Linked DNA regions of Macaca mulatta. The protein of the gene in region 6 interacts with the protein of the main gene of each other region in a pairwise test. Links are inferred from orthologs where the notes say so. Each region holds a gene or a part of one and is shown on either strand. Other genes may lie near its edges.

Evidence for each region.
Region 1: the proteins of RGS20 (region 6) and PTPMT1 interact in binary tests that used the Homo sapiens proteins (3 or more experiments, as listed by UniProt). The two-hybrid records come from large-scale screens. The link is inferred for Macaca mulatta from reciprocal best matches to the Homo sapiens genes RGS20 and PTPMT1.
Region 2: the proteins of RGS20 (region 6) and OTX1 interact in binary tests that used the Homo sapiens proteins (3 or more experiments, as listed by UniProt). The two-hybrid records come from large-scale screens. The link is inferred for Macaca mulatta from reciprocal best matches to the Homo sapiens genes RGS20 and OTX1.
Region 3: the proteins of RGS20 (region 6) and FASLG interact in binary tests that used the Homo sapiens proteins (3 or more experiments, as listed by UniProt). The two-hybrid records come from large-scale screens. The link is inferred for Macaca mulatta from reciprocal best matches to the Homo sapiens genes RGS20 and FASLG.
Region 4: the proteins of RGS20 (region 6) and GLRX3 interact in binary tests that used the Homo sapiens proteins (3 or more experiments, as listed by UniProt). The link is inferred for Macaca mulatta from reciprocal best matches to the Homo sapiens genes RGS20 and GLRX3.
Region 5: the proteins of RGS20 (region 6) and HOXA1 interact in binary tests that used the Homo sapiens proteins (3 or more experiments, as listed by UniProt). The two-hybrid records come from large-scale screens. The link is inferred for Macaca mulatta from reciprocal best matches to the Homo sapiens genes RGS20 and HOXA1.

The regions. Positions count from the first base shown.
Region 1 is NC_133419.1:18,021,447-18,025,060, forward strand, and holds the end of PTPMT1 (phosphatidylglycerophosphatase and protein-tyrosine phosphatase 1), read right to left. Parts: coding exon 3,532-3,614; intron 1,329-3,531; coding exon 1,170-1,328; 3' UTR 993-1,169; downstream 1-992. UniProt on the Homo sapiens protein: Lipid phosphatase which dephosphorylates phosphatidylglycerophosphate (PGP) to phosphatidylglycerol (PG).
Region 2 is NC_133418.1:61,712,038-61,717,491, forward strand, and holds the start of OTX1 (homeobox protein OTX1), read right to left. Parts: upstream 3,279-5,454; 5' UTR 3,211-3,278; intron 2,857-3,210; 5' UTR 2,788-2,856; intron 1,212-2,787; 5' UTR 1,103-1,211; coding exon 1,006-1,102; intron 11-1,005; coding exon 1-10. UniProt on the Homo sapiens protein: Probably plays a role in the development of the brain and the sense organs. Can bind to the BCD target sequence (BTS): 5'-TCTAATCCC-3'.
Region 3 is NC_133406.1:30,155,087-30,160,706, forward strand, and holds the start of FASLG (tumor necrosis factor ligand superfamily member 6), read left to right. Parts: upstream 1-2,348; 5' UTR 2,349-2,390; coding exon 2,391-2,735; intron 2,736-3,286; coding exon 3,287-3,332; intron 3,333-5,620. UniProt on the Homo sapiens protein: Cytokine that binds to TNFRSF6/FAS, a receptor that transduces the apoptotic signal into cells. Involved in cytotoxic T-cell-mediated apoptosis, natural killer cell-mediated apoptosis and in T-cell development.
Region 4 is NC_133414.1:142,208,928-142,213,821, reverse strand, and holds part of GLRX3 (glutaredoxin-3), read right to left. Parts: intron 4,455-4,894; coding exon 4,282-4,454; intron 4,045-4,281; coding exon 3,983-4,044; intron 1,829-3,982; coding exon 1,771-1,828; intron 1-1,770. UniProt on the Homo sapiens protein: Together with BOLA2, acts as a cytosolic iron-sulfur (Fe-S) cluster assembly factor that facilitates [2Fe-2S] cluster insertion into a subset of cytosolic proteins.
Region 5 is NC_133408.1:101,250,565-101,256,240, reverse strand, and holds HOXA1 (homeobox protein Hox-A1), read right to left. Parts: upstream 3,159-5,676; 5' UTR 2,767-3,158; coding exon 2,115-2,766; intron 1,652-2,114; coding exon 1,296-1,651; 3' UTR 167-1,295; downstream 1-166. UniProt on the Homo sapiens protein: Sequence-specific transcription factor. Regulates multiple developmental processes including brainstem, inner and outer ear, abducens nerve and cardiovascular development and morphogenesis as well as cognition and behavior.
Region 6 is NC_133413.1:64,602,005-64,606,898, forward strand, and holds part of RGS20 (regulator of G-protein signaling 20), read left to right. Parts: intron 1-2,595; coding exon 2,596-2,830; intron 2,831-4,894. UniProt on the Homo sapiens protein: Inhibits signal transduction by increasing the GTPase activity of G protein alpha subunits thereby driving them into their inactive GDP-bound form.

The DNA.
Region 1 (3,614 bases), on a different chromosome or scaffold from region 6:
AACCCATGGAGGTGTTCTGTTTGGGGCTTTTTAGACTGCTGCTGCTCAGCTGGTTGCTTGAACTGACAGTAGGCCAGCCTGTTCTCTGCCATCCCCTAGTCATTGTGTGCCTCACCACAGCTTGCTTTAGAGCAAGCTGTTTCTCAGACCTTAGGCACAGCCTCTCCTCTTTACCTGATCAATGTTAAATATAAGCACCCCTGATCCCAGGACATAAGGAAAGATGCCCAATTGTACTTTTGTTCTATAACCTATGAAATGGCTAGTTGATCATTTTTCCACAAAGAATTAGGTGTTAAGAGTTTTCCTTCGGGCTTTACTTAGGAGTATGGACTAAGCTGAAGGTGTACTTCACCAGCAAGAGTCAACTCTAGAATTCAGGACGTTCCTTCTATTGTTTTCTCATCCATCTGTCAGGAAATGTAACTTTGGTTTTATTTTTGGCTTATTCCAAGGGGTAAGCCAGAAAATAGAAATGATTATTTCTGATTAATAGCAGAAACTTTTTCAAACTCAAATATGTAAGGTGTCTGCTCTTTTAAAAGCTCTAAGCTAAGTCAAGAGCTAGGAAGTGTTGATACAAATAAAAGTTTTTGAAGGGATATGTGTGTCTGTGTTGAATTCCGAAGGGGTGACTTTGAAGGGGCGAGAGTGTTTCATTCCCTCAGGGGGACTCCTTACGTACCATCACATGGCTCAGTCTGCAGCAGTCCTGACTGCGCCCATGCTCCCACTTCTCCAGACAGGATCCCTACTCCACAGGGCCAGTGAGACTCAGATTCTGACAGTGGCAAAGACCCAGAGCTGAGTTTCCTTTTTTCTAGTGCTAAGTCTTTTGAGTTGTGGTGCTAAATATTATTAGGCACAATATTAGGTACATAATAATAGATTTTTGTTAAAATACTTCTTTAGCTCTATTCAAGAAAAGAAGATGGCCCCATCCCTGTCCTGTATCCCATGAATACAAGCCACACTAAATCTTTTCCTTTCTAGCCACACAACAGTGTTATTTCAAGAAAATGAAACAAGACAGAGAAAGCAAAATTACCTATTACCTATTGGCACATTTTGGTTATGTCAAGTCTGGGCTTAAGCCCTGTGGGTCCCGTTAAGCTTTTTTTATTCTGTATCAAGCGGGAATGTCTTGAGTTCTTTCTAATCCACATACATCATGTCTTTGAAGTGTCAAAAGTCCCATCCTTTGCTGCCCCTGCAGTAACCTGCTTGTGGAACTCTTTAAGAACATCCAGCTGGCCAGGCCTGATGTGGATGTAAGACCGGATCTTGGCGATGGCTCTTACAGCCTCCTCTGGACTCCATCTGTGCACCTGAAGTACAGGGTTGAGAAATCAGCAGAGAAAGAAAGAAGCAGGTGTCAGGCCGGGCGCGGTGGCTCAAGCCTGTAATCCCAGCACTTTGGGAGGCCGAGATGGGCGGATTACGAGGTCAGGAGATCGAGACCATCCTGGCTAATACGGTGAAACCCCATCTCTACTAAAAAATACAAAAACTAGCCGGGCGAGGTAGTGGGCGCCTGTAGTCCCAGCTACTCGGGAGGCTGAGGCAGGAGAATGGCGTAAACCTGGGAGGCGTAGCTTGCAGTGAGCTGAGATCCGGCCACTGCACTCCAGCCTGGGTGACAGAGCGAGACTCCGTCTCAAAAAAAAAAAAAAAAAAAAAAAAAAAAAAAGCAGGTGTCAACGTGCCCTTGACACATGAGCAGGTGCTAAAGGACTTCGAGAGTTTCATTTCTTTGGAAACTCCATTTTGGAGGCATTAAAAATCATGCTTCTTGTATTATAAATGGGAGAGTACTGTAAACACTGCAGTCAGCCAGTCTCACAATACTATGCAACAGGCCAGGTGGAAAGTCAGTCTTTCTACCCAATTCTTGCTCTGCCAAATCCTAGAAAAAGAAAGTTGCACATGAGAAGCTGAGGTCCTAAGTTCAAGACTGCCTCAGCCTACTCCACATTCTCTCCGAGCTGGGCTTTTGGTTAAAAGAACTTCTAGGAACAAGTATGCAATAGATGTTTTGTTTGTTTGTTTTTTATTGAGACAGTGCCTCGCTGTGTCACCCAGGCTGGAGTGCAGTGGCGATCTCAGCTCACTGCAAGCTCCGCCTCCCGGGTTCACGCCATTCTCCTACCTCAGCCTCCCGAGTAGCTGGGACTACAGGTGCCCGCCACCACGCCCAGCTAATTTTTAGTATTTTTAGTAGAGACGAGGTTTCACCGTGTTAGCCAGGCTCAATCTCCTGACCTCGTGATCCGCCCGCCTCTGCCTCCCAAAGTGCTAGGATTACAGGCGTGAGCCACCGCGCCCGGCCTGCAGTAGATGTTTTTATGCAACTTGTCACCATGGCTAGAAAAACAAGTACTCATAATTTAAATAGGAGGGTTAACATGTCCTAAGGATACTCATTGGTTTAGAACTGAACAGAACCAAGAAAATACAGATTTCTAGCTTGCTAATTCAATTCTCACTGGGTACAAAATACCCTCCTGAGACCCTGAGTCCAGCAGAGTCCTTATGACCGAAATTTTAGTATCGTTCAACTACATACATACACACCAGTCCACAGTAACACAAGGCCAAACTTAGCTATTCACATGACTTAGAAAATGCTCTGTGGGAGCCATTTTGTAACTCAGGTTACAAAATGATGATGGACTACAGGGTATTTGTTTCTCCTAAATATTTTTAAAGCATCCCACCTGCCAATCATGACAAATTAACAGGCAGAATCTAGTTTGGAGCCTGTTTCCAGAAACTAATATCCAGAACTTGACTCTGGAATACTTGAAGAAACTTGAGTACTATAAAGCTGAAAATGATCATCACTATTATCTACAGTATTGTTCCCTGACATGGTATTAGAACAAGTGTCTAGCCTTTTGCTGGGGTTGAATATCTTTTGCAACTCCATTTTTAGAGTGCCCGCTGTAGCCAGCACTTGATGTAATTTCTTATTTAAACTTCATAATACATTTAGTTTGAGAAAACAGCATTAGGTATCAGTCACTTTTGCTGATCCTCACTGGCAGGCGGCAGAGCCCCAGGTTAGCCTGTCACAAGGCTCAGGTGCTTTCCATCATACCACACCACCTCCCAACAGCCTGAAATCAAGCACACAGCTCCTTCCAACAAGGCCCACCAGTAGACCATGCTATTGAAGTTCTGGAAATCTGCTATAAATGGGACCAGAAAGATTTTTTTTTTTTTTTTTTGAGAGAGGGTTTCACTGTGTCGGCCATGCTGCAGTGCAGTGGCACAAATCATGGCTCACTGCAGCCTCTACCTACCGGGCTCAGGTGATCCTTCCATCTCAGCCTCCCAAGTAGCTGGGACTACAGGTGCACACCACCAAACCAAGATAACCTTTTGTATTTTTTGTAGAGACAGCTTTGCCATGTTGCCCAGTCTGGTCTCAAACTCCTGGGCTCAAGCCATCCTCCCACTTCAAGCCTCCCAAAATGCTAGGATTGTAAGCATGTACCACGATGCCCAGCCCAGAAAGAACTTTTGTACCTGAATCAGGTATGCTGCCACCATAGTGGCACTCCTGGAGCGCCCAGCCTTACAATGCACGTAGACACACTGGCCCAGCGACT
Region 2 (5,454 bases), on a different chromosome or scaffold from region 6:
CGTGGAGTGGCTGCGGGGACACGCGGGGGCGCCGCGGGTCATTGGTGGCCACGCGGACCAGCGATAGAGCACTCAGGCAGGCCCCTGGCAGGCCCAGAGCTCGGCCTTCGCAAGAGAAAGCCGAACTGGGAATAAAAGACACTCCCTCGGGCGGCCGAGCCTGAGAGGCCACAGGTGGGAGAAAGTGCAGATGTGCGACTAGAAGCCAGTGTCTCCAAGATTCAAGGGCTGCCCCTCTCTATGCCTCTCAGAGGTTAAAAAAAAGTAAGAGAAGTCTACAATCTCCCTTCTTCCACATTCCCCCTCCCCTGCGCGCGCACACACACACACACACACACACACACACACAATCTCTCTCTCTCTCTCTCTCTCTCTCTCTCTCTCTCTCTGGCTAGGGGACAGGGAGTGGGGAAGAGGTAGGCAGAAACACGACCTGAAAAACACTTTCGGAGAAAATAAATGGGGTAAAGGAGCCGGAGCTAAAGAACCCCGGGTTTGGCTCAGGTCGTCCTCTACAGCAGTGCAAAAATGGATGCAGGACATCAATTTAGAGGACAATTTAATTAGGAAGGAAGAATACTCCTTCAGTCCAGCCTGCCGCTTCGCATAAGGAAAGTTTGGCTCTTTCTGTCAGGGCCTAACGAGTGTCCAGATTACTCATTCCATGTTGGGGGAAAAGGAAAAACACTAGCCGCCCCTGGGTAGCGAATCCGCAGGTAAATGAGCTCTGCGCTGGTGGTGGGACCACAACAGGAGAAAGGTTGCCGGTGACCCGGCCAGGAAGGCGCACATTGCGCGTTTTCTCAGCCCTGGCCACCTCACATGCCCACGACTCTGCCCCGTGCGCCAGCAGTGGGCCCTGTATTGTAAACAGGCAGTGGGCCCTGTATTGCAATAGCTGACTCCCTGGGCCTGCTCGGCAACAAAGCTTGCACTCAAACCCAACAGTCTGGGGGGCCCCAACATTGGAGAGGCTGAAGCAGGGTCGGGAGGGCTGGTGCTCACCCGGATAGCCCACGGATGGGTGCAGGAGGTCCATGGCGGGCCCAGCCAGGCCCAGCCCGTTCATGCCGTATGGGGGTTGTTTGAGGTAAGACATCATGCTAACAGCTGGGTGGAGGCGCCCCGACGGATCCAGGGGACCTGGGGCCAGAAGCGGTGCAGGGCTCCCACCGCAGTCCTTCAGGGTCTGATGCGTCTGGGGGCCTGGCCTATGAAGACACGAGACACACGGAAACCATCAATCGGAGCCACTTGGCTGCCAAGTCTTGCCCCAGGATAGACAGGGAAGGCAGGTTACAGAACTGCGCAGGGTGGTCAACTGGAATCCACAAGGCCTTAGCCCAGAAACCACAGTTGCTTTGAAAAGTAAAGTTTTCTGGGTCGTCTGGCTCCAGCGTTGGAATGAGCCAAAGACACTGGTAGGGAGTCCATAGGAGTAAGGAGAAGTCAAAGCCAGGCCAGGCTGGGGAGGTCAGAGCAAGAACCGCGGAGTGTGCAAGCTCCCAAGTCCAGGCAAAATTCTGAATCCGGCAGAAGCCAGCTTCATGTTGCACAAGCAAACGTTCACTTGGTGCCGGGACGGCAGGCCTCCCGGAGCATGAGGGGTTGTTTCATTTTGTTTCACGTGTTTTTGAAAAGGTAGAGACTACAAAGGGCCAAGGTGAGGCAATGTGGAGGGCTAACCGCACCTCAACCTCTTGTCCACTTAGGACACTTGGTTCCTTCAAAGGTCTCCAGGGCTGCGCCCCTGCCCCAGAGCCCGCAATCACCATTCCAGCTGACCTCTCTGTGCCCAGCCACTGAAAGATCGCTGACGCGAAATCCCACCACACCTCAACCGCAGTAACCGGCCCAGGCCTCGCAGAGGGCCAGGGGACGCCGAAGAGGCCACTGTAGAGGGGGGCGACCCCAAGACGCGGCCTGAGGTCGGGAGCGTCTCAGCTGCGGCCAGCGTCCTTCGTTGCCAGCGCGCACCCGGCCTTCTCTGTCCAGTCTGTGCTGCGGACCACAGGGTCCCAGCAGGGGGTGAAGGGTGACTGACCTAGCACCTCAAAGGGTCTCGGGGATTTGCAAAGCCGGAGGGCAGCAAGTCCCGTGCTGTCATCCTTGTAGCTGAACCCGCGGCCCCAGGACACTGTCGAGAACAGAGAAGTAGGCCTCAGCGGCATAGCCCACGCAGACCCGAGCTGGGAGGTGGAAGCCTCGCCCCCGCCGCTGCCAGGAACCCGGGGCGGCACTCTCAGGGGTCAGGGAGGGGCGCTGGAAACTGGGCCTGGGGCTCTGGGGGGCCATTGCTACACCCCGCTTAGCGGGATCGCTGTGAAGCAGGCCAGGGACTCGGGCTAGGACGTTCAGGGAGAGAAGTTAGAGCTAAAGAAGCTCCCCCCTGCCCCGTTCCCACCCCGGTCTTCTGGGATCCAAGACCTGGGCTGAGGGAGTCCAGCTTGTAGGAAGGGGACGAGAAGAGAAGCAGCCAGGGCTCTAGGGCCGAAGGAAAATGGGACTCAAAGCTGCGACGGCTTTGCGAAGCTGCAGCGTGAGTTTTCAAAGACTTTCTCCAAACTTAGCACTTCAGCTTGGTTACTTCGGAGGAGGCGGGGGAGGGAGCGGCGGGCCGCGACAGCGCCCCGGGGTCCTCGGCTCACCAAGAGGGGAGCTAGGCCGCTCCCCCAGCCCCGCCCACCTGCTGGTGACCGGGGAAGTGGGGATCCATTTGAGGAGGGGGAGGTAAGGGTAACCAACGCGCTCCCGGAGTCCGGGATGGTCCCGCGGCTTTCTCCTTACCTGCCCTCAGCTGCCGGGGACGTTCACCATCTACCTGGATCTCTCACAGAGACCCGCCGGGCAGCCAACCTGCAAAACAGAGCGGCACAGGAATTACCCCGGCGGCTGGTCTAGGACCCCGGGTTTCTTTCTTTTCCCAACTTCCTTCCTCCCACCTCTATCTTTTTTTTTCAGTGGCTTTGTGCGTGTCCCTCTGGGTTTCACTTTATTGCACAGACACTTTGTTTGCTAAGCCCCACACGTTCTCAGGCAGGACATTGCCTCGCCCGGAATCGCGCCGAGGGGCCGCAAGGGGGGGAATTCGAGGGCAGAGTTGGGAGGTGGCTCGGCGTTACCGCGGCACTGCCGGTGCAACGTGGAGGCAGTGGGGACTGGGAAGTCCTGCAGAGTCACTTTGCAAACTAAATAAATCAAGCGATTTACCTTGTCGGAGTGGCTTGTCTTGCTCGGTTGTTTAGGTGATTGGAAATGTAGCCTGATGAAGATTGATCACCTTTCTACTGCCCTCCCCGGGTATGTGAACGCGAGGCGAGTGCGTAACGGGGCTAGGCCGCCAATCGGGGGCCCCGCGCGGGCTGAGTGACAGGGAGCCGGGCAATGGCAGCGCGAGCCGGGGGTTACCTCCGCGCGCCCCCGCCCTCCCCCGCCCCCCACACCCCGCCCTCCCCTCCCGCCCGCCCCGCCCCGGTCGCGCGCTAACTCCGGGACTCGGCTGGCAAAAGCGGCTCAGAGCTAGGCGAGGAAGGCGAGCGGAGAGCCCGAGTCCTGGCCGCGGAGGGGGCCGCGGGTCTCCAGGCCTTCCCTGGGCGCCCCCGCCCTTCTCTCGCGCTCTCGGCGCTCCGGAGGGAGTGGCAGAGACGAGGAGAGGTGCTGGAGAACCGGTTCCTTCGCTCTCCTGCGCGCCACCGGGCTCAGCCGCCCGGGTGTGGGCGCCAGGACCCGGGGGCGGCGGGCTGGAGGAGCCCGGGCCTCGGCCCCTCTCCTGGCGCCGCGGGCCCCAGCGTTTTCTTCCTCTGCACCGCCACCTGAGACCGACGCCGCGGGCGGCTCGTGCCGGCGCAGGCTACTTTGCAGAGCGCGGGAGCAGCTCCGGGCGTGCAGATCTCTCCTCGGCGCCTCGGGACTCTCGCGCCTGGGAAGAGCACCCACTGGGAGGGCACAGCCACTTACCTGCTCATCGGCATCTCCCGGGGTTCCCGGTCCCCACCAAGGGTGTTTGCAAGCCTTAAGCGCTTCTTCTGAAACGTTGGAGCCCAGCGTCCTCTTGCCCTCACATGTACACCCTACTTCTTAATTCAAACATTTTGATAGGAAAGTTTCTTTTTCATTCTTTCTCTCTCTTTCCTAGTCTGCCTCTAACAGGGACTTTTTGATGGAAAATGTGGCCACAGACCCCTGCCCTCAACTTTTTTCCACATGCTGCGTAAGGAGCCTCCTTGAGGCGATTTCCCCGGATTGTTCGTACGGGCGAAGCCCATTTCCCAGTGGAACAAACTTCCCAAACACGTCTGCCTGGGTGGACTTTTAAAAGTGCAAAAAAGAGTTTTCGTTCCAACTCTGAGCTAGGAGAATCTTTTAAATGGCACCTCCTTCTGAAAATTAGGCACTTTATTCCCTTTCGAGGAATTTCTACCCCTTGTTTCTAATCTCCCCCACTCCCCCACCCCGACAGGCGGGGTAAAAAGTTTGCACAGGAGTAAGTGTGAGGGCGAGTCAAGGAGCCTCCAGGCGCATCGCAGTGGGGAGCACCCGTGCTGCCCAGGCTGCGGGGTCGGGCGCGGAGAGCAGACAGGGCGCTGGGTGAGGAGGAGGAGAAGGAAGGGGGAGCCCGCTGAGTGAAAAGGGGCCGCGGCCGCCGCTCATCAAAGTGCTTCCCCCTCCCCCAAGCGACACTTTCCTTTGGAGTCCGAATAAAATACGGTAACAGAATATGATGGAGGGCACACTGTTTCCTTAACTGCTTCTCAAAGGACCCGGGAGATCTTCTTAGGACCTTTAATAAGGCTTTGGTCGGTTCTTTTGTTGATCTCTCAAAATCAACTCCTTCTAATTGAAGTTGGAGCTGAAAGCGAGCTAATGTTCAAAGAAAGTGGCCGCCAGACCAACGAAATTACATTTTTTTTTTTTTTTGGACGATGAGGGAACATCTAATCAAAGGGGCAGGGGAGGAGGGGTGGGAGTTGGGGCGTACGAAGGAGAAAAGGAGGTTTTACAAGATCCTTCTCTGGTTCACAAAAGTCAGCGACACGGGCGCTTCTCTCCAGAACAAAGACACCGCGGCCCATTCACAAAAGGGAGAGAAAGCTGAATAAAGAACGAGAGAAATGGGAAAAAATTAGAGAGAGAAGGAGGGAGAGAGTGAGTGAGAAAGAAGCTTTAAGAGGAAAAGAAACAGCGCAGAGCGCAGCGCTAACCCAGGCGGGCACACACCTTAGGCTCGCGCAGGCCCCTACCAGGAGTAGCCCACGAGGCCCGCGGTCAGCCACCCGCGGCTCGGAGCCACTGTGATCGTGCTGAGGTTTAAAGAAAGCAACGAAATATACCCTCGCCTTAGGTTCCGAGGAAAGGCGCAGGCTAGAGCGCACTAGTTTTGGGGAAAAGAACATGCGGACGTCCCGGGGTGCGCATCGTCGGCGTCTGCGTCCATAGCCCGGCGCTGCCCCAGTC
Region 3 (5,620 bases), on a different chromosome or scaffold from region 6:
AGTGGGAGCTGATGCTAAAGAGCCTTGGGTAATGGTAAGGAGCTTGCATTATTCTTGGAATCAAACCTTCCAACACAAGGAAGGGAAGTGAGATCATTAGGTTTGTTTTTTAAAAACATCTTTCTTGTAGCATTTTACTGAGTGATTTGGGCTTGGGAAAGGTCAGTGGCAGGGCACCTGTTAGGTCATTATTGCAGTATTTCAGGTGAGAGATAAAAAGTCTGAGCCCAGGCAATAGCAGTAAGAAAAATGGGAGTGGTAAGGATGGGGGAGGGGAGCAGTAAACCGAGGGGAGGGTAAGGAACAGGTCTCAGGTAAAAGCAACAGTCCTGGGTGACCAGTTAAACATTGGGGGAGAGGAAAAGAAAGGAGATGAAGTTGCCGCCAGAAAGAGTGGCCTCAGGAGAAACAGATTGTACGGGGATGGGGATGGGGTGGGATGGGCAGAATATATCAGGGAAAGAGTATCCTTGGTATTGGTTTGGTACAGGTGAGTGGGCCTGAATGACAGTCACGGAAATCCCAAAACATGATATAAAAACTAATGAAATTTGAAAGGTAATAAACATGAAAGAAATGAAAAATTTGGATTTATGGGGGATTTATTTGGCTTCTATTGGGGAATGATTAAGACTGAAGCTAACTACTTGGAAGTTATTGGCATAAAAATGGTATGTGAGGCCAAAGGAAAGGGTGAGGTGAGCCCAAGTAGAGAGGCCAACTTTAAACAACAACAGAAAAACAAAGAAATAGGACACAGAGTTAAATTTGAATGTCAGTTATATGATGAATAATTGTTTAGTGTATTCCATGTTTGGACGTGTTTAAGACATACTCGTCCTAAAAATTATGTATTATTTATCTGAAATTCAAATTTAACTGGGCACCATGTATTTAATCTGGCAACCATAACAGGGACAGGACACAGAAATATCGGCAAGGACCAGGCAGGCCTTTCAGATGGTGAGGTGATGTGTGAGACACAGGCCGCTGGCGGAGGCTGGGTGACCCAGAACACCTGTCGCTCATTCTCAGGAGCAGCTGCTACCTACTTCCCACTGATTGGGTTTGCAGAGATGGCCTCGAGGGTGTCTGATATTCTGATATTGCAAAACAGAACAAAAATATGTATTTTAATGTGTATTTAAAATGTATATATATTAAAATATTTTTAATATTGATATTAAAAGTGGTCAATTGGGCTGAGTGCAGTGGCTCATGACTGTAATTCCAGCACTTTGGGAAACTGAGGTGGGAGGATGTCTTGAAGCTAGGAGTTTGAGACAAGCCTGGGCAACATAGCGAGTCCCCATCTCTACAAAAATAAATAAATAAATAAATAAATAAGTCAGGTGTAGTGACTCATGCCTATAATCCCAGCTACTTAGGAGGCCGAGGCAAGAGGATTGCTTGAGCCCAGGAGTTTGAGGCTGCAGTTAACTACGATAGCACCACTCCACTCCAGCTTGGGTGACAGAGTGAGACTCTGTCTCTATTTAAATAAATACGTAAATAAATAAGCTGGGCAAACAATGAAAATGAAAACATTGTGAAATACAAAGCAGTTCTGTGGGTTCCACTGTTTGCAGCCTCTGATCTAATTTCTAAAGAGGGTGTAGCAGGTTTTTTAACCTGTAAATTATGGTGATTGGCAGGTCAGGGTAAATGGTAGTTGTGTGTGGGGAAGCGATGATGGCAACAGGTGTTTTCCTCCTGCAAAAACGAAAATGTGGGAGTGACTTCTCTGGCCATGGCTCCATGGTCTCTCCCCTCAGAGCCAATTTCAGTAAAATTTTTATAGTTTAAAAAATATGGTTCTGAACAATTTTTGTTAGAGTTATTTTGGTATTTTTAAATAGTTTTTTGGTCGTATACATGGTAGAATTCTTAACATTATACAATTGTAATGTATAAAAAAGGATACAATTATAATTCATAAAATTATAGCCCCACTGGCCATTCTCCTGTAGCTGGGAGCAGTTCACGCCAACAGGGCTCTACCCCAATGCTGACCTGCTCTACAGGATCCCAGGAAGGTGAGCATAGCCTACCAACCTGTTTGGGTAGTACAGCGATAGCAACTGAGGCTTCCAAGGCTTTCGTCAGAAGATTGTGGGCGGAAACTTCCAGGGGTTTGCTCTGAGCTTCTTGAGGCTTCTCAGCTTCAGCTGCAAAGTGAGTGGGTGTTTCTTTGAGAAGCAGAATCAGAGAGAGACATAGAGAAAGAGAAAGACAGAGGTGTTTCCCTTAGCTATGGAAACTCTATAAGAGAGATCCAGCTTGCCTCCTCTTGAGCAGTCAGCAACAGGAGTCCTGTCCTTGACACCTCAGCCTCTACAGGATTGAGAAGTAAAACCGTTTGCTGGGGCTGGCCTGACTCACCGGCTGCCATGCAGCAGCCCTTCAATTACCCATATCCCCAGATCTACTGGGTGGACAGCAGTGCCAGCTCTCCCTGGGCCCCTCCAGGCACAGTTCTTCCCTGTCCAACCTCTGTGCCCAGAAGGCCTGGTCAAAGGAGGCCACCACCACCGCCGCCGCCGCCGCCACTACCACCTCCACCGCCACCACCACTGCCTCCACTACCGCTGCCACCCTTGAAGAAGAGGGGAAACCACAGCACAGGCCTTTGTCTCCTTGTGATGTTTTTCATGGTTCTGGTTGCCTTGGTAGGATTGGGACTGGGGATGTTTCAGCTCTTCCACTTACAGAAAGAGCTGGCAGAACTCCGAGAGGTAAGCCTGCTGGCAGACTGCTGTGCCCTGGAGGCACCAGGCATAAGGGGGTGGAGGGCCCACTGCCTGGCTTGCAAAGTGCTTTTCAATCCTTTTTTTTTTTTCTTAGAAATGGGTTGTTCTAGTTATTCTATTCTATAGGCAGAGAAATGGAGGCTCATAGGAGTGAAGGGAATATTTTTTATTTTGTAAAGAATCAGAGCCCAACAGTTTTTCTTTCCTCAGTTGTCAACTCAGTCTGTTGAACCACTTACTGCCTCATACCTAGTGATTTAAGGAGTAAAAAACAAACAAAACTTTTAAGTTTTGCTTGGAAGTAAATTTGTTCAGATGACCAAACTAAATCTTGAAAATACTTAAAATACTGGTACGATTTCAAATCACAAAACTGAGGGACAGTGAAGCAAAATTGCTTGACCAAAGCCTGAGTCAGCAAAAGTTCTGAGGTATTTGGATTCTCTTTCCAGGGCTTGGTTTATTTGACGATTCTGTCTCTTTTGCTTAAATAATTTTATTTTTATTATGCATCTTTTTTCTTTCTCTTTTACTAGTCTACCAGCCAGAAGCATACAGCATCATCTTTGGAGAAGCAAATAGGTGAGTCCTTTTTCACATGTACATTGAGTTCCTAAAGATGATCCTCAGCACTGAAATATGTTAATGGAATGCCTTATATTCTGTCCTACACTTTGGCTTATGTATACTATGAGAGGAATCCTGGCTAATTCGGAATCTCTGGTCAGTATGATTCCTTGAGCTGCTTTATAAATGTGAAGTGAATTGAATTGCTCACAATCAATATAGCTGAGCACGGCACACAATTCAAAATCACTTCCGCTTGACTTTGGAAAGAGACACACATATACAACCGTGGACTTTTGCCCCCTGAGCAGTGGTTCCAGGCCTGTCCCCTTCCACAGACACCCTGGTCCTGGCACACATGCCAGTGGCTATGACTTCTGGGAAGAGAAGGCGAAGTGAAGGCAGAGACAGATGTTTCTGAGAAACGTCCTCTCCTCTTTTAAAGCCTCTAAAGAGATTACAGTGAAACTTTATTTACAAAATGTTTTATAGGACGTAAGCTTTTAAAATGTGGCTAATCAATTCCGTACATTAGAATGGTTTTTCTTGAAGTCACTGAGAAGCTGAAGGGAAGACTTCAGCCATCATTCAAAGGATGTTCAGCTTCAGAGGCAGTCATGAGGTACCCTTGATCACAAAGGAAAATCCTTTGTATGGGAGCTAGGGCAAGAAGACGATATGTTGGAACACTGATCTCGTGAAATTTCAGGGCATAGTTTTGCAAGCTCTGTACAGATGGATTTTACAATGTGCTTCACTAGCCTAAGATTCATTGAAATTTTAGATTTAGATTTACAATGAGATTCACTGAAGGTTTAGAGTTGGAAGGAAGCTTAGAATATCCAGTCCAGCCATTTCATTTTTTTGGAAGAGAAACAAAATGCCAGACGGATTAGGTGAATATGCCCAAGACCCCTAGTATGGAACTGGGGCTAGAAGGAACACAGGCTCTTGATGCCTTGTCACCTACAGGGCTTTCCGGTACTGGACTGGTGCCTCATGAAGTAGGGAAACTCCTGTCTCTCTGTAGTGAGCATGGAGTGAGAAATAGAGGAAAAGCAGGATACCTCTGCAAAGACTATAGATAGATCGCATCCTTAGAAACTCAGAATAAAGAAGAAGGCAGCACTGGCCATCTATTAAGTGAAGTAAGTTTCAGTTTCTCTGGATGTGGCTACTGCAGGCAACCCAGTCGCCTGTCTACTGTCCTAGACTGTTAAGTTCTTATAGGAGCCACTGTTGGGAAGCTCTGGCCCCTGAGTCTGTGTCCTAATCCTTAAATGTTAGAAAGTCCATATGTACACAAGCAGAGTGGAAATATTTGCTAGAAAAATAAAGCCTCTGGAGGATGTCTCAAATAAGATCATTTTGAAAACCTGTGGAATGTGCCTGGTCTGATAGGTACCTAAGCATTCATCTTTTACCTCCTCTCTGGAGTCAATTTAGTGATTAAAAATCAAATGACCAGACGAGTCATGTCCATCTACCCCAGTAAGCAATTATCTTCTCTAGATCAACCCAGATGAACCAGAAATTGTTAAATTATCACAAGGAAATCAAATCAGTAACTTTACTAATAAGAAAAGAGATGCAAACTAAAAATAGGGAACACCAATTTTCATCAAATTAGTAAAGTTAACAAAAACCCAGACTGACAAAGATTTGAAAGAAAAGTGCTGTTTAAACATTAGTTTCAGCCAGTATACATGTAAATTGCTATAACTTTTTCTGAAGAGCACTTTAGAAATACATATCAAAAGCTTGAAACTAATAGTTTATGTTGTAATCCTATCACTAAGAATTTCTCTTAAGAAAATAATCAGAGATGTGCCTGAAGATTTATATATAAGGATGTTCATTACTCCCTTATGAGCCTATTTATAATAAACAATCCAGAAGAAACTTGAATGCCTCATACTAGATTAGTTATATACATTATGGTGTATTGAAACAAGCACATAATAAGCAGCAACTAAAAATGATGTATCAGAAGGACATTTAATGCCTTGGGGATTGTGCAGTGTGTATTGTTAGATAAAAAGACAAGTTACAAAAGGATATATTTCGTTTCATACTGACTATGTAACCATGTATGCACGTTTTTATATTCTTAGGAACTAGAAGGTTCTACACACTGACATACTAACAGTGATTTTCTCTGGGAGATACTACTATAGATTATTTATACTTTCTAACTTGTTCCTTTTTACATTTTCCATTTTTTTCCAGTTAGCTAATTAAATCTTTTATTCATTCACATGCGTGAGGCTAGATGTTGGGTGTTGGACGCTGATCGAGGATGA
Region 4 (4,894 bases), on a different chromosome or scaffold from region 6:
ATTCTTCACTTCACTCATGCAAAATGATCTTAACTCACTTAGTCTTTTTGCAATGATTATGACAATTATTTTCCCATTTCCAACTGGACTCTGACTCCTTTTTTTTTTTCTTTTTTTTTTGAGACGGAGTCTCACTCTGTCGCCCAGGCTGGAGTGCAATCTTGGCTCACTGTGACGTCCACTTCCCAGGTTCAAGCAATTCTCCTGCCTCAGCCTCCAGAGTAGCTGGGACTACAGGCGCACGCCACCACACCCGCTAACTTTTAGTATTTTTAGTAAAGATGGGGTTTCACCATGATGGCCAGGATGGTCTCGATCTCTTGACCTCAGGATCCACCTGCCTTGGCCTCCCAAAGTGCTGGGATTACAGGCATGAGCCACCACGCCCGGCCTCATTTATTTTTACATTACAGAATACTAACACTTTTTTGAGTTTATGAAAATCTTAAGCTTTTTTCATGCCACAGGACTCCAAATTCCAGCAATCTTGTGGAAAAGATACGGTACCATGTAAACATTTTAATAGCCCTAATAACACTGTTTCCAAAATGTATTAAAACTTTCTAGGTTTCCAGAAAAAAACAGTTTTGAGAATAAATATCCGCTTAAACAATTACCAAGAATAAGAAAAAAATGTCACTTTATCATTACTAGGAATTATTAACTTCCTCTATTGTTTCAATACACTGAAGCAAAACCAAAGAATTTAGGATCTAACCTAGTGATTCCAAAATGCTGAAATTTATATTAACATTTTATTTGTTACTGTTACTTTCATTACCTAATTATATTAACCAATTAGTTATGTTAACTAATTAGCTTCATTATACTAGTTATGTAACTTACACACTAGTTATGGCAACCAGAGTCTGCCCTGTGAAGAAGTATTGAGTCCCTTTCCCAATGAGCAAAGTGGCAAAGTGGTTCTCTGTGTCACTTGCCCAGTGCATCTGGCTAACAAGTGAGGCAGTTTCTTTATTCCAACAGCCTCACCTTTCAAAGCTTTGGTTTCTTTATCTCTAAAATAGGCCAAACTCTGTCCAACCCTGCCTACTTCAACAACTGATTGAGAATTAAATAGAGGTTCAATTGCTATGAAAACTACAAAATATGGCATAAATGTGTATGGCTGGTTTCTGGAAATTACCACTCTGATCTCAATCTGAAAGAAAATTAGTTCTGCTCAAACTATTAGTGGAAGTAATCTATCAAACTTGATATTCAAAATGACGCACAATCAATATGCACTTTCGTCAAAAAGCTACAAGAACCATCCCATTACAAATGAGAATTGCTGACCATTTCACTCATTCATCAAACACTACACACAGCACACCTGCTACAGCCAGGGTTTGCTCCTCCACTGTCACAAAAGGACGATCTAGGGGTGCAAACCCAAGCACGACCAGGTTCCCTGCATTCAGGAAGTCCAGTGACTCAGCTGCACACTCCAGCAGTCCACAAACTCCAACAAAGGATAATGAAATAACAACTCATACAACCAGTAAAGTGTTAACAGTGTTGACCACGTTAGCTGACAAAGTTTGGCAGCAGAAAGAAATGCACCCCACTGAGATGTTGATGATAAAGTCAAGCAAAATGTAGATTACTTTGTTTGATCTCCGTAAGCACCAATTAAGGCCTGGATAACTTCCTGATACCGCTACAGCTTCATTAGCTAAAGCTAGGAAAAAGAGATTTAACTGTCCCCTTGTTGCAGATGTTAACATCAAAAGAAATTACAAATAAAACCATTTTTGAGTTCTTTACCTGTTTGTTTCCTTTCATAAAGAGCATCACAGAAGCTTTATTTGTCAGCACTTTGAGCCTAAAGAGAGAAAATTGATATAAAACGGCTCAGCTCAATTATGCAACACCACTTTTCCTCCGCTTCGTGAGTAACATGCATATTTGAGGGATGGCAGGATGACAGTTCACAGCTTTGAGTGGTATTAAACAAGCAAATGCGTTGACATTTTCCTTGATTTCATTCTCTCCCTAAGCCACTGTAAAACACAATATGGCTTTTAAGGCAAAGAATGTTCCTTCAAGTTGCAATTTAAGCCCATCAACTCACAGTAATAAAAAAATAATAATAACAACCAATTCAGTAAGGAATTGTTCAATAAGGGGCCTATATATTAAGCCCATCCAAAACTTCCAGAACTAGATCTTGTGAGCACCATCTTCCATCATGATGCTGCACACCACTGTACACGTGTAAAGCTCACAAGGTCAGACTGCAGGGTGACAGCATTAAACCTCAGAACATCAACTAATGCCAGATGCTAAAATCAAATACTTTCATCTTAACATTATATTTTATACAGTATTGCCAACATCATAATCTAATATGTTATCAGAAATTTTAATTATCTGTATACAGCCACAAGTTTAGTCACAAATCTCAGGAAAAGTCAGTGTTGGGACGACAGGTCACTAAAGAACCTAAGCTCCATGGGGTCACGCCACCATGTTCTCCCAATTCAAGGCTCAAAAATCTCCTTATAAACGAATCCCAAATGAAATGCATAAATCATGCACAAAGCTGTATCACTTACATTGCCAACCGAGTGGGATTAGCTCAAGTTCAGAAAAATATGAATGGATACAGGAATACGATGCTGACCCTGACAACCCAATAACTAACCCAGCCACCTGGATACAGGGAACCACAGCTCACAATGTACTGCCAAAATACACGTCACAAGTCCATGAACTCCACTTCCTGCACTCTGCTCACTAGGAGCCCTTTAAATTATTACTCAAAATATGCTGAATTTTACTTTCTACATAATTCTAGCCAGTTACCTTTCAGTGTCCGCAAGCACAGATTTAGAAACAGCACATTTAGGAAAACAAAGGCCCAATGGAGACAAGGCCATTAACAGCAGCAAGTGTACTCAGCAGAGAAGGAAAATCAACTGAACAGCGAATACAAGCATATAAAAAGCACAGCTGTCCTTGGAGAACACACAGCCTCCATGGGCCATGGGCATCACCAGGCTACAGGCAAGAACCACACATGAAGACGCCCAGAGTCAACAAAGGGATGCGGAGCATCACTCTCTCACGAAGAACGCAGAAAATGGTACAAACCACAGGACAGAATGCAGTACTCAAAGATCAGCCTTACATACGTGGAATGGAACATTATTTATAGAAATTATTAATTAACAACAGACAAATGAGGTAATTATTATTATTACACACTTTTAGAAATTCTCAAGATGTTACATGGCAAAAAAAAATTACCAAAGGAAGGTTTATCTTACAATCTCCAGCCCCAACCTATGAATGGCTGATTGCTGATATAGTAAGTTCCTCTTTAAAGTTCTATATTAATTCACATTTACTGCAATAAAAATCCTATTAAGTTGCCTTATACACCAAAGTCCAACGTTTCTGTAAGAGAACTTCTCCAAAAGCCAAGTGAGATCCTTGACAAAACAAATACATGTTTCACAGCCCCAAAACCTGCTCATGTAAGTTCTCGTGGTCTAGAAAGGCCATGAGAAGTGCCCAAAGCTTGTTGCGAGGTGATGAGCTTTTCACACTCACCACTTGTCACTCAGTGCTCTGGCGTTGGGGCAGCACCCGCAGCAGTCACCAAGGCTGCACCCAGGAAAACACGAGTGTGCTGAGGTTACGCCAAGGAGCAGTGACAAGACAACTGGACCCTGGCTCTGAAATGCAGAGAGGTAAGCAAAATTTGGTTGTTCCACAGAAACAATGACATTTCTATAAAAGCAAAGAAGGTCCTCCACATGATCATTAAGTTGGTGCTAAAATTTCTCCAATCCAAATTAGATTTGCCAAAGTTTGCATGGCTAGTTTGACTAAACAATGAAATTATGACCTCTGGCATACAAATACCAAATCCTTGATTTCTACACAGAAAGAGCAATGCAAAACCTGAGGACTTTAAAATATTTTTAACATATTAAATGACAGACTATTTAAAACTTTCCAAAACACTTACCTTTCCTCTAATTTGGGAGCTTTGGGACAAATTGTATCTAGTTCTTCAGATGCTTCTAGCTCCTAAAATAAGCACACATGTCAGTTTTATAAAAAAAAATTATTATAACATAAATCTCCTTGATCACACCATAACACAGCTTATTGATCAATCAACTAATCAGAAATACTGTGTATTCATTGCAGGTTCTTATTAGTAAATATAGATTCATAAGAAATTTGTATCTTAGATTTATCACACTTTAAAAAGTATGCTCTAAATGGAATTTATTTACAAAGCACAGACTTCTCAATTCTAACCTTAATTATATCAAGTCCTCCTATGAGCTCTCCAGAAACGTAGAGCTGAGGATAGGTAGGCCAATTGGAATAGGCTTTGAGTCCCTGTCGAACCTCTTCATCTGAGAAGATATCAAAGCTGCTAAATTGAATATTATGTTTGTGAAGAATTTCCACCATCTGCTTGCTGAAACCTGTACACAAAAAAAGAAAATAAAGCACTTAGCTTCTCTCTCTCGAAACATGTACACATGATAATACATTAGTTCAGCATACACATCATCTAATGGACATAGACGCCTGCCTTATTTTGCTGGTGATTTAATTAGCATGGCTGGATAGTATACAAACAGAAAATAAATTCCTGGATCCCCTTATTTGACCTTGAACCATATCACACACTCAGATATGACTTAACTTTTTGACACAATTGTGAGTATTAAAAAAAAAAAAGTGGTGTGTGTATTTATTAAAGTTACTCTTCAATATCATGGACATTTTTTGTCACAGAAGAAATAGCACTAGCCAAAAAGCAGAGACCTGAGGGTGATGGTGCATACCCATAATCCCAGAGACTAGGGAGACTGAGGTAAGAGGATCACTTGAGACCAGAAGTCTGAGGTTGGAGCAAGCT
Region 5 (5,676 bases), on a different chromosome or scaffold from region 6:
GAGCTTTGATTATAATAAAGGAGCTGTTACTAACTTTTATTCAAGAAAAGGCCCATCTCTTTGAAAATATTTACCACCCTTCTCCCTTTCCCCTCATGAAATATGCCAACTTCGTAGGAATTAACAAATTGTAGCCCAGCCAAATACATGGATGCTTAAGCATACCTGAAACTTGAGTATATTTATTTATTACAGACATCCTAAGACCCGTAAACTCTGCTCTGGATCATATCTCTCCAGGATCTCAGAGCTGTTCATGATTGTACAGGAAATGGGGAATATCATAGGCTCACAAAGGATAACTGATAGAACTCAGTGTGGTACTTCGGGGACATCAAACATTGTGCGACATGCAAAAGACTATTCACGAATCACACAAAATATACATTCATTGTGCCATCCATCACATTAACAATTGACCTGAAAATACATTATATCCAACTAAGATAACTGTGGAAGGAAGAAGCTGGTTTGAATAATACTTTTAGGTTCTGAATAACCCAGCACAAATTTTAAACAGAGGGTGGCCCAAGAAGAAAGGAGTGGGGATTGGGAAAGACTTAGCACAGGAAGCTGGATTTCTGAACTTTGTGCTCTGCAGGGCTTCTTAACTGTAAGAACAAATCGAGGCTACCCTCTGAGGCATCTGATTGGATTTAAATGAGGAAATTTGTTCTTTCACTTATAAAATTGTGCCAGTTTTGAGAGTTTGCCCACCCTGTTTTAGTAACCTAAACATTTCTAGAAAATCTGTATAAAGATAAATCTCTTAGGACAAAGTATTCACAACCAGCAAACTCACACACATGAAAATGACTTAAATTAAGGGATGAATTAATTGTGTAAACACACAGTGTATCTCTTCTTCGTGAGCTCCTGGACTCTCCTTTCACTATATCCTACTTTCAAGGACAAGGGAGGAGAGAGCTGTACATATAGTTAGATAAAAGATGAGAAGATTCCTTCTGGCATGTTTCTGTTGGTAAAGGGAACTATTTTCCAAAAAGTCATCTGAAAGGAACAGTAGGTTCTGTGAATTCTCCTAAAATCAGGAGGGATGTTAAGGCCCACCAGAAAATGTGTGCTGGCACCCAATCTGGATTAAGGTGTTAACCCGGCACCAAGTCTCTGGTCCAGAATTATCTGCAAACATATTATCCTGGCCAGGAGCTCCCCAGATAGGATCAGAAAAGAAGAGACTGTAAATGGAAAGAAAGATAAGCTAAGCATGTGCTTTGGGTAAGAAGTCCCAGCCCAAGGAGATGCCTGGGCTGTGGTCTGGGACTGGAGCCGCCTTAGTGGGAGGTAGTCAGAGTGTCTGAGGTAGAAGACCCCGGGGAAGGAACGCAGGGCGAAGAGCTGGACTTCTCTGAGGATTCCTCAGCCTTCTCGTCGTTTCCTGGCGGGGTGGCTGGAGAGATGGGCAAGAGACCCTCCTTCTCACGTTTCTTTTGCTTCATTCGGCGGTTCTGGAACCAGATCTTCACTTGGGTCTCGTTAAGCTGCAGGGATGCAGCGATCTCCACCCTGCGGGCACGCGTCAGGTACTTGTTGAAGTGGAACTCCTTCTCCAGCTCCGTGAGCTGCTTGGTAGTGAAGTTGGTGCGCACCGCGTTGGGTTGACCCAGGTAGCCATACTCTCCAACTTTCCCTGGGGCAAAGTGGGAAGCCATGAGATGGAAAGGTAAAAATTTTTAAACCGACTTGAGATTACCTACACACTTCATGGCAACACTCAGGTAAAGAAAAGATCAAGAACTCAACACAAATCGGGCTGTGGAGGGTGAGTGATGAGGTGTAAAGTGTTAACCTGAAGTCAACCATTAGCGTGGTCAGATCGGTGATTAATGGAGCCTTAAGATATTAACAGAACACTACCGTCACAATAACCACCCCCACACACTTCCTACTTCCCAAATGTATAAAATCCTTGAGAACACGCCAATCCCTGAGGCTTCTTTGCCCCAACACCTCTGGGTACCCTCTCCATGCACTACAACACTAGTCTTAAAGCCTTTAAAAAAAAAAAGATAATTATTAATTTTCCTTGGAAATTAAGCATACCAGCTCCTTCCAGATTAATCAAGGAGCATCCACCAACCCCCAGGACTGACCTGTTTTGGGAGGGTTTCTTTTGACTTTCATCCAGTCAAAAGTCTGCGCTGGAGAAGATGTCTCCGATGCAGGAGAGCGACAGGCTTCTTGGTGGCTGGCGTGGAGAGGGGACAAGGAGTTATTATACGTAGCCAGGGCCAGGCTCTGGTGCTCTTGTCCATATGAGTGGTGAATGTACTGAGGCGAGCCCACCGCGCCCCCGGCATAACCCTGGTGGTGGTGGTGATGCTGTACCATGGGAGATGAGAGATTTCCAGAGTAAACAGCGGGAGCGCACTGGGGGTACCCACCACTTACGTCTGCTTCCTGATTTAACGCGTAGGGGCTGTAAGGCGCACTGAAGTTCTGTGAGCCATAGCTTGGACCACAACTCGAGTGGGAGTAGGACACCCCCAGGTTCCCGGAAGTCTGGTAGGTAGCCGGCGGGGGGTGGTGATGGTGGTGGTGGTGGTGGTGGTGAGGCGAACCGATCTGCACCCCCCTGCCCACTAGGAAGCGGTCGTCGCCGCCGCAGCTGTTGGTACTGACCGCGCACGACTGGAAAGTTGTAATCCCATGGTCCGAGGGGTAGGCTCGGGCTGAGCAGGTCCCCGAGTCGCCACTGCTAAGGATGGGGTATTCCAGGAAGGAGTTCATTCTTGCATTGTCCATCTGTCACTGAGTGACCTGGTCCTGCGAAGCCCTGGGTGACCGTGCCAACTTTCTCACTTCCTCCATGGGGCCTGAGAAGAAAAATGATATGAATGTACAGTGCGCAAGAGGGGGGGGCGGGAGGGCGGAGGACGCTAGGGGAGGGGCACGTGACGGTGTCAGCCAATGGCTGAGCCTCCTGCAAAAGTTTGCCGGCTTCCGCGGTGATGGATCACCGTTTCAGTGGCATTTAAATCCCCGGCGCTCCGCCGTCTAGGTGACGCGCAGTCGCCCCCCCAGGCAGCCCAGGCGGCGGCAGCTGCTGCGGCGACTGCAACGGCCGATTTGGAGTGCTGGAGCGAAGAAGAGCAAAGGCTGCCTTCTGCGCGCGCCCGACTCCGCTGCCCGCCCCGCCAGGCCTCCGGGAGGTGGGGGCTGAGAGGCGTCCCCCGCTCCCGCCCCCTCCCCACTGTGCACTGAAAGATGAACTGGCGAGAGGTGAGAAGGGAAGAGGGCTCCCGGCTCTCTCGGGGCGCGAGTTAGTGGGCCGGAGTTCGCCGGGTGGCCGCAGGTTCGCGGGCCCAGCCCGGAGCGCGCCCAACCGGAAGGCGGGGAATCCGGCTGACACCGAGCCCCGGGTTCCCAGGCCGCCTTCTCTGCTCTGAGGCTGGGCTGGGAGACCATGGGGCTGTGAGGAGCGCACAGAACCGTGGCAGGGGGCGAGGCTGGGCCACCGGCTCTCCAAGCGCGGAATGGAGAGGGAAGAGCGCAGAGGGCTGGGTGGGAGGAACTCGGGTGGGGGTGAAGGAGACGAGGGCAAGAAAAGAAACTTCCCTTCTTCCAGGAGAGTCTCCGAAACCCTCTCCCCACAGCCCCCGCTCTTCATTAGCATGGCAATGAGGAGTTTCTGTAATTCGACCGGGGAAGGGGGGGTGCGGAAGAGCCCTGGAAACAGGGATTGCCGGAAAAGGCCGGGGGCGACCGGGCTCTTCTTCCCCACCCTCCCTCTCTCCTCGCTCTCCGCCGTTTCTTTCCCACTCAGTTTTGCAGCGGGAGCCCTCCGGGATGCGGAGCTACTCGACCGCCGGATTTTTAGGGGTAGGAGGCGGGGGAGAGAGATGACGCTGGCGGACGTGGCCAGCGTGGGGGCCGGGCCGTGCGCTGCAGGCCATCTGCCGGCGCCCGAGACCCAGGAGCCTCCGCTCCCGCGTGGGCCTCGCAGGGCCGGTCCACAGCTCCAACAAAGTAGCTGAACTCCCTTCGTTGCGTTCCTCTTTTTCTGGAGAGGAATGTTAGAAGAGAGAGAGAGCTTCCTTTTGTAACCTTCCTCATTCTGCTGCGCGTCTAGAGTGGGTGCGGGGACTGGCAGGTGGGAGGAGCGGTGGACAGATGGCTGATGGTGGACAGAACACTTTACCCCAACGACACCTCCTCCCCTTTCCAACTGGCTGGGTAGTTGCTTATGAGAACCTTCAAGTCTTTCCTTAGAGAGACACGTGAAAATCTGAGCGTCATCCCAGGCCAAGGGTCCTGTTCCCCATCACCCTCCTTCTACCCTGACGCTGCTGAGGTCGTTAATTGTTGTTTACTATTAGGTTTCACGTCAACCCTGGGCTTGTAGAGAGGAAAAAGCCAAACGGAGACCAATAATTGATGCAGTCTTGGGTAGGAGAAATCGAGAGCTCGTCCAGGAAGCTTTGCAGCCAATGCTGTATAAATTTTACTCCAACCATGTGTACAATGTTGGAATCAGATGGAATTTATAGTGAGGAATGTATGTGGGTTTGGGGTTTCCACTCACCTTCAGCCTTTCCTCCCCTGTTAGAACAAGGAAGGTTTTTTTTTCAAGGCAGGCACATTTCAAATATGTTAGTCACCCTTTCAGTCTTCTGTATTCTGTTCTCCACCTACTGAAGCTCCCCCAAACCTGTCCCCTCAAGAGGGAAAACCCATGCTGACTCTGGACTCCCTCAGTAACAATGAAACATTCTCCCCAAACATTTCCTTTCAGGTTGGTATTTCTCTGTGACTTTGATCCATTCCAAGCATGGTTAAGAGGGAGCAGGGGCAGGAAAGAGCCGCTTCCTGGGGTTGGGCAGCCACCCCTGCCCCAGTTTCGGATCCTGGGAATCATCCTTCTGGAGAAGGGGAAAGGCAAGGCGGTCCTCCTGGAGGTGGCTTCCTTGGGAGCGCCAGCTTCCAGCGGCAGGGAGAGAAAGAGCTCCTGTGGGGGAGTGGGCAGGATGTGAGGAGGTCGGTGCTGGCTATGAGAGCAATCCTTCCTCCAAGCCTGAGCAAGTCAGTACATTTTCCCCCGCTGCCTCATTCCTGTACCTTGGTTGCCCTCCTCAGCCTGGGTTTGCAGGACCCCCTCGGCTGCAGGGCGCCTGCCACAAAGCCGACCCCGGCAGGAGCCACTCTCCCTTTGCTAGTTCGCTGCTTCGGCGCTGCTCTCCCTCAGCCTCTCTTCTCTCCTGGCCTCTTTTCGGGGGTATCCTGGGTGGAGTGTTTTTCTTGGGATCACGAGCTTACTCTCGCACACAGGCCCGCAGACACACAGGCCCGCGGCCGCCCTCCTCCGTTTACTGTTCCCGGCTCCCCGCAGGCCGGGCGCTCGCAGCCGGGCTGGCTATGCCTCGGCTGGCAGCCCAGAGCGCCGCTCTCCGGGAACGGCACACAAAGGCAGCCTCCCCTGGCCTCGAGCCCTTAGGATTCTGTAGCTCGGTTCTTTCCCCACACCCCTCCCCCAAGAAATTCTGGGGGCTGTTCCACCGAGTAGGAGATCCTTGGCCCTCTAGGCAAGTAGGTCAGCGCCCCAAGACTCTTTCAACGCCTTGGGAGACTGGGTGAAAGGCGAGCTTGGTTACGCTTAAAATGATCGCCTACAAGCGGTTCTCTTGGCTCAAAACGCCTCTTTCAGGGCTCTTATAC
Region 6 (4,894 bases):
GTGTGGATCACCCGAAGTCAGGAGTTTGAGACCAGCCTGGCCAACATGGTGAAACCCCTTTTCATTAAAATATAAAAATTAGCGGGGCGTGGTAGCACACGCCTGTAATCCCAGCTGTTCAGAAGGCTGAGGCAGGAAGAATTGCTTGAACCCCGGAGACGGAGGTTGCAGTGAGCCAAGACTGCACCACTGCACCCCAGCCTAGGAGACAGAGCAAGACTCCATCTCAATAAATGAATAAATAAATAAATAAATAAAATGAAAGGGAGAGGGAGAAAGAAAAAGCTATAGATGCTTGCCAAAAATTAAATGGTATATAAGTAAAGAAAGTGATCTAACCTCTAAGAGAGTAAACACTGTTAACACATTTCTTTTTTTTTTTTTTTTTTTTGGAGATGGAGTCTAGCTCTGTCGCCCAGGCTGGAGTGCAGTGGTGTGATCTTGACTCACTGCAACCTCTGCCTCCCGGGTTCAAGTGATTCTCATGCCTCAGCCTCCCAAGCAGCTGGGATTACAGGTACCCACCACCACACCTGGCTAATTTTTGTATTTTTAGTAGAGATGGGGTTTCACCATGTTGGCCAGGCTGGTCTTGAACTCCTGACCTCAGGTGATCTGCCCGCCTCAGCCTCCCAAAGTGCTAGGATTACAAGCGTGAGCCACTGTGCCCAGCCTGTTAACACATTTCTTAAAAAAAATGACCTGGAAGATTTGAAAACAAACAAAATAGAAGTTTTAAAAATGAAATATTATTGTTCAAATTGTTTTAAAATTGATGATTGAAATAAAAGATTAGATACAGCTAAATAAATAGTGAACCTGAAGGTATCCAAAAAGACCCATATAACAAGGAGATTGAAATACAGTTTGAGTATCCCTTATCCAAAATGCTTGGAACTAGAAATGTTTCAGATTTCAGATTTTTTCAGATTTCAGAATATTTGCATTATACTTACCAGTGGCTCACACCTGTAATCCCAGCACTTTGGGAAGCCAAGGTGGGTGGATCACCCGAGGTCAGGAGTTCCAGACCAGCCTGGCCAACATGGTGAAATCGCATCTCTACTAAAAATACAAAAAAGTAGCCGGGTGTGGTAGTGAGCACCTGTAATCCCAGCTCCTTGGGAGGCTGAGGCAGGAGAATCGCTTGAACCTGGGAGGCGGAGGTTGCAGTGAGTCGAGATCATGCCATTGCACTCCAGCCTGGGCTACAGAGAGAGACTCTGTCTTAAAAAAATAAAATAAATAAATAAATAAAAACTAAAGACTACATTTTTCAGGGTTACATACATACATTTAAAACTATGGAAACAAAATAAAAGAGATATTAAGGATCGTTATTAAGCTATGTTTTCTGATCTCGATACAATTATGACAGAAGTAAGAATTAACTCAAAGGGGTAACCCCAAAGTCAAGTATAGCAGTTCCCTAGGGGACGAAGCTGGGAGACAGTAGCAAGTAGAAGTAGCACCAAAATAAATGCAACATTGTCAGTGCTGTTCTGGTTCTTAAGGAAAATAGCCCATTCATAAGTGTTCATTTACACTGGAGACGCGGAAAGGTGGATGGGAGGGTGGGAGGTAGGTAAGGGATGAGAAATTACCTGATGATTACAATGCACACTATCCCATTGATGGCTACGCTAAAAACACAGGCTTCACCACTGTGCAGTGTATCCATGTAACAATGTATCCATGCACTTGCACCCCCAATTATATTTTTTAAATGTTTGTAATTTTTTTTTAAAAGTGAGTCAGATGCAGTGGCTCACACCTGTAATCCCAGCACTCTGGGAGGCCAAGGTGGGTGGATCGCTTAAGCCTAAGAGTTTGAGACCAGCCTAGGCAACATAGTAAGACCTGACTCCACAAAGAATACAAAAAATTAGCTGGGCATGGTGGCACCTGCCTGTAGTCCCTGCTACTTGGGAGGCCAAGGAGAGAGAATCATATGAGCATAGTAAGCCGAGGCTGCAGTAAGCTGTGATCACCCCACTGCACTCCAGCCTTGGCAACAAAGCGAGACTCTCAAAAAAAAAAAAAAAAAAAAAGTGTTCATTTTGTTGTCACCTTTGGACAGTACAGCGGTGGCATTTATAACTTGCATTTATATTACATATATTCTCTTTCTCAAATATTACATAATTTTAAAATACATTAAGCACACACTTGCTCTGTTGTTCTAGAGGTTTAATGTTGTCAAACCTGACTTAGTTCTGTTGTAGTACAGAACTCATCACAGGTGATTAGGAAGTTTTGGGTCAGATGGTTGTAGGATTTTTCTTTACATTTATAGTTTTAAAAATATTGCAAGATGTGCCCAGTTGTAAACAAGCATGTTCTTAGCAGTTATTATAGCAACTTGGTTTGCAAGCCTTTTGGTATGCAATCCAGCAAACAATGTGAAAGTATCATATTCATGTGTTTTTCCCAAAGGCTTGAAGAAAGGAGAACAGCTCTTCTCCTTCCTAAAAGGGCCTAAATGCATATATTTCTCATTCTTGGAGGAGGAAAAGATACATTTCTAATGATGAAATTCCAATTAACTACCACTAACAGTTCCCCTATGCCCCTTCTCTTTTGGTCTCCACGAAGCCCTGCTCCTACTCTGGAAGAAGTCAATGCCTGGGCTCAGTCATTCGACAAATTAATGGTCACTCCAGCAGGAAGGAATGCATTCCGTGAATTCCTCCGAACAGAATTCAGTGAAGAAAATATGCTCTTCTGGATGGCCTGTGAGGAACTGAAAAAGGAAGCTAATAAAAACATTATTGAAGAGAAAGCAAGGATAATCTATGAAGACTACATTTCTATACTTTCTCCTAAGGAGGTATGTGACCACGAAATGCCTTCTCCCAAGGCTGATGGTAAAAGTATTAACTTGGTGCAAAAGCAACTGCCACAGGCCGGGCACGTTGGGTCACGCCTGTAATCCCAGCACTTTGGGAGGCTGAGGCGGGCAGATCACCTGAGGTCAGGAGTTGGAGACCAGCCTGACCAACATGGTGAAACCCCGTCTCTACCAAAAATACAAAAATTAGCCTGGTGTGGTCACGGGTGCCTGTAATCCCAGCTGCTTGGGAGGCTGAGGCAGGAGAATCACTTGAACCTAGGAGGCAGAGGTTGCAATGAGCTGAGATTGCGCCACTGCACTCCAGCCTGGGTGACAAGAGCGAAACTCCATCTCAAAAAACTAAACAAAAGTAATCATCTTTTTTTTCTTTTTTTCTTTTTTGAGACAGAGTCTCACTCTGTCGCCCAGGCTGGAGTGCAATGCTACGACCTTGGCTCAGTGCAACCTCTGCCTCCCGGGTTCAAGTGATTCTTCTGCCTCAGCCTCCAGAGTAGTTGGATTATAGGTACGCACCACCACGCCTGGCTAATTTTTGTATTTTTAGTAGAGACAGGGTTTCACCATGTTGGCCAGAATGGTCTTGATCTCTTGACCTCATGATCCACCCACCTTGGCCTCCCAAAGTGCTGGGATTACAGGCATAAGCCACTGTGCCTGGCCTCGCCATTACTTTTAACTTTTTCCAGAAAAATGCACAAAAGTTTTCACAGATTTCAGAGGACACTTGGAGCCCTTCTGCAGGTCCACAGTCAAAGGGATCTGCATACCGTGAATGCGGGTGCAGCTGTTTTCTACATTTTGCAGTTGCTGTTCTGGGTCAAGCTGAACATGACCAAACAGCTGCACCCTCATTCACAGCATTCAGATCCCTTTGACTGTGGACCTGCAGAGGGGCTGCAAGTGTCCTCTGAAATCTGTGAAAACTTTTGTGCATTTTTCTGGAAAAAGTATCCCCTGGAGTCTGCATTTGATGGTGAACACTGTTTACAAACATTACACCCTAAGAAGTTCCTTTAAATAAAATTATCTTGTTATTCTGAGAAAAATATTGTCTTTAGGTATCTTGATGTTACAGGGCAGCAGCATCACAGATGTGATACTGATGCGGAAAAGGTTTTCCCCAGGCTGGCCTTTTCACATTCAAGAAATTATCAGTTGAATGAGATTGGGCAAGTTTCCACCTGTCAGAGTTTCAGTTACTTCAGATCTAAAATGTAGGAGGTCAGGCCTGGCACAGTGGCTCACTTCTGTAATCCCAGCACTTTGGGAGGCCGAAGCAGATGGATCACCTGAGGTCAGGAGTTCGAGACCAGCCTGGCCAAACACGGTGAAACCCCTTCTCTACTAAAAATACAAAAACTTAGCCGGGTGTGGTGGCGTTCACCTGTAATCCCAGCTACTCAGGAGGCTGAGGCAGGAGAATCGCTTCAACCTGGGAGGCGGAGGTTGCAGTGAGTAGAGATTGCGTCATTGCACTCCAGCCTGGGCAACAAGAGCAAAACTCCACCTCAAAAAAATAGTAATAACAAAATTTAGGAGGTCAGATTGTTCTCACAATTGGGTGCCCTGCAGCTCTAATTATAAAACTATTGGTTATTTCCTACTATGTGCTGACAGGAATGTCAGGTTGAAGAAGCAGGGCCTCTCCTGTCATGGAGCTCCTGGAGATGTGGGCAGACAGACCAGGACCCCTGGCCACACGCTCAGCACTCACTGGGGCTCGGGGGTGAGCCATCCACAAACGGGTGGGTGAGAATGAGAAAAATACTCAAGGAGGCTACAGATGGACCAAGGATAGTGAAAAGGAAATTTCCACAAACACAGCAGGATGGCGACATCCCAGGAGACAGGCCCAGGCGAGCCCAGGAGAAGAGCATGAAGTTGTGCCATCACTGCAAGTGTACATAGATTGTTGTGCCGGAAGGGGAGGGTGCTTACCAAACTATTAGGGCTGGGGGCAGGCACCGGGAGGAGACTTAAGAGATAAGGGGTCAGAGAGCATGGAGAGGTTTTGGCATCATGCCAAAGTGTCCGGATTTT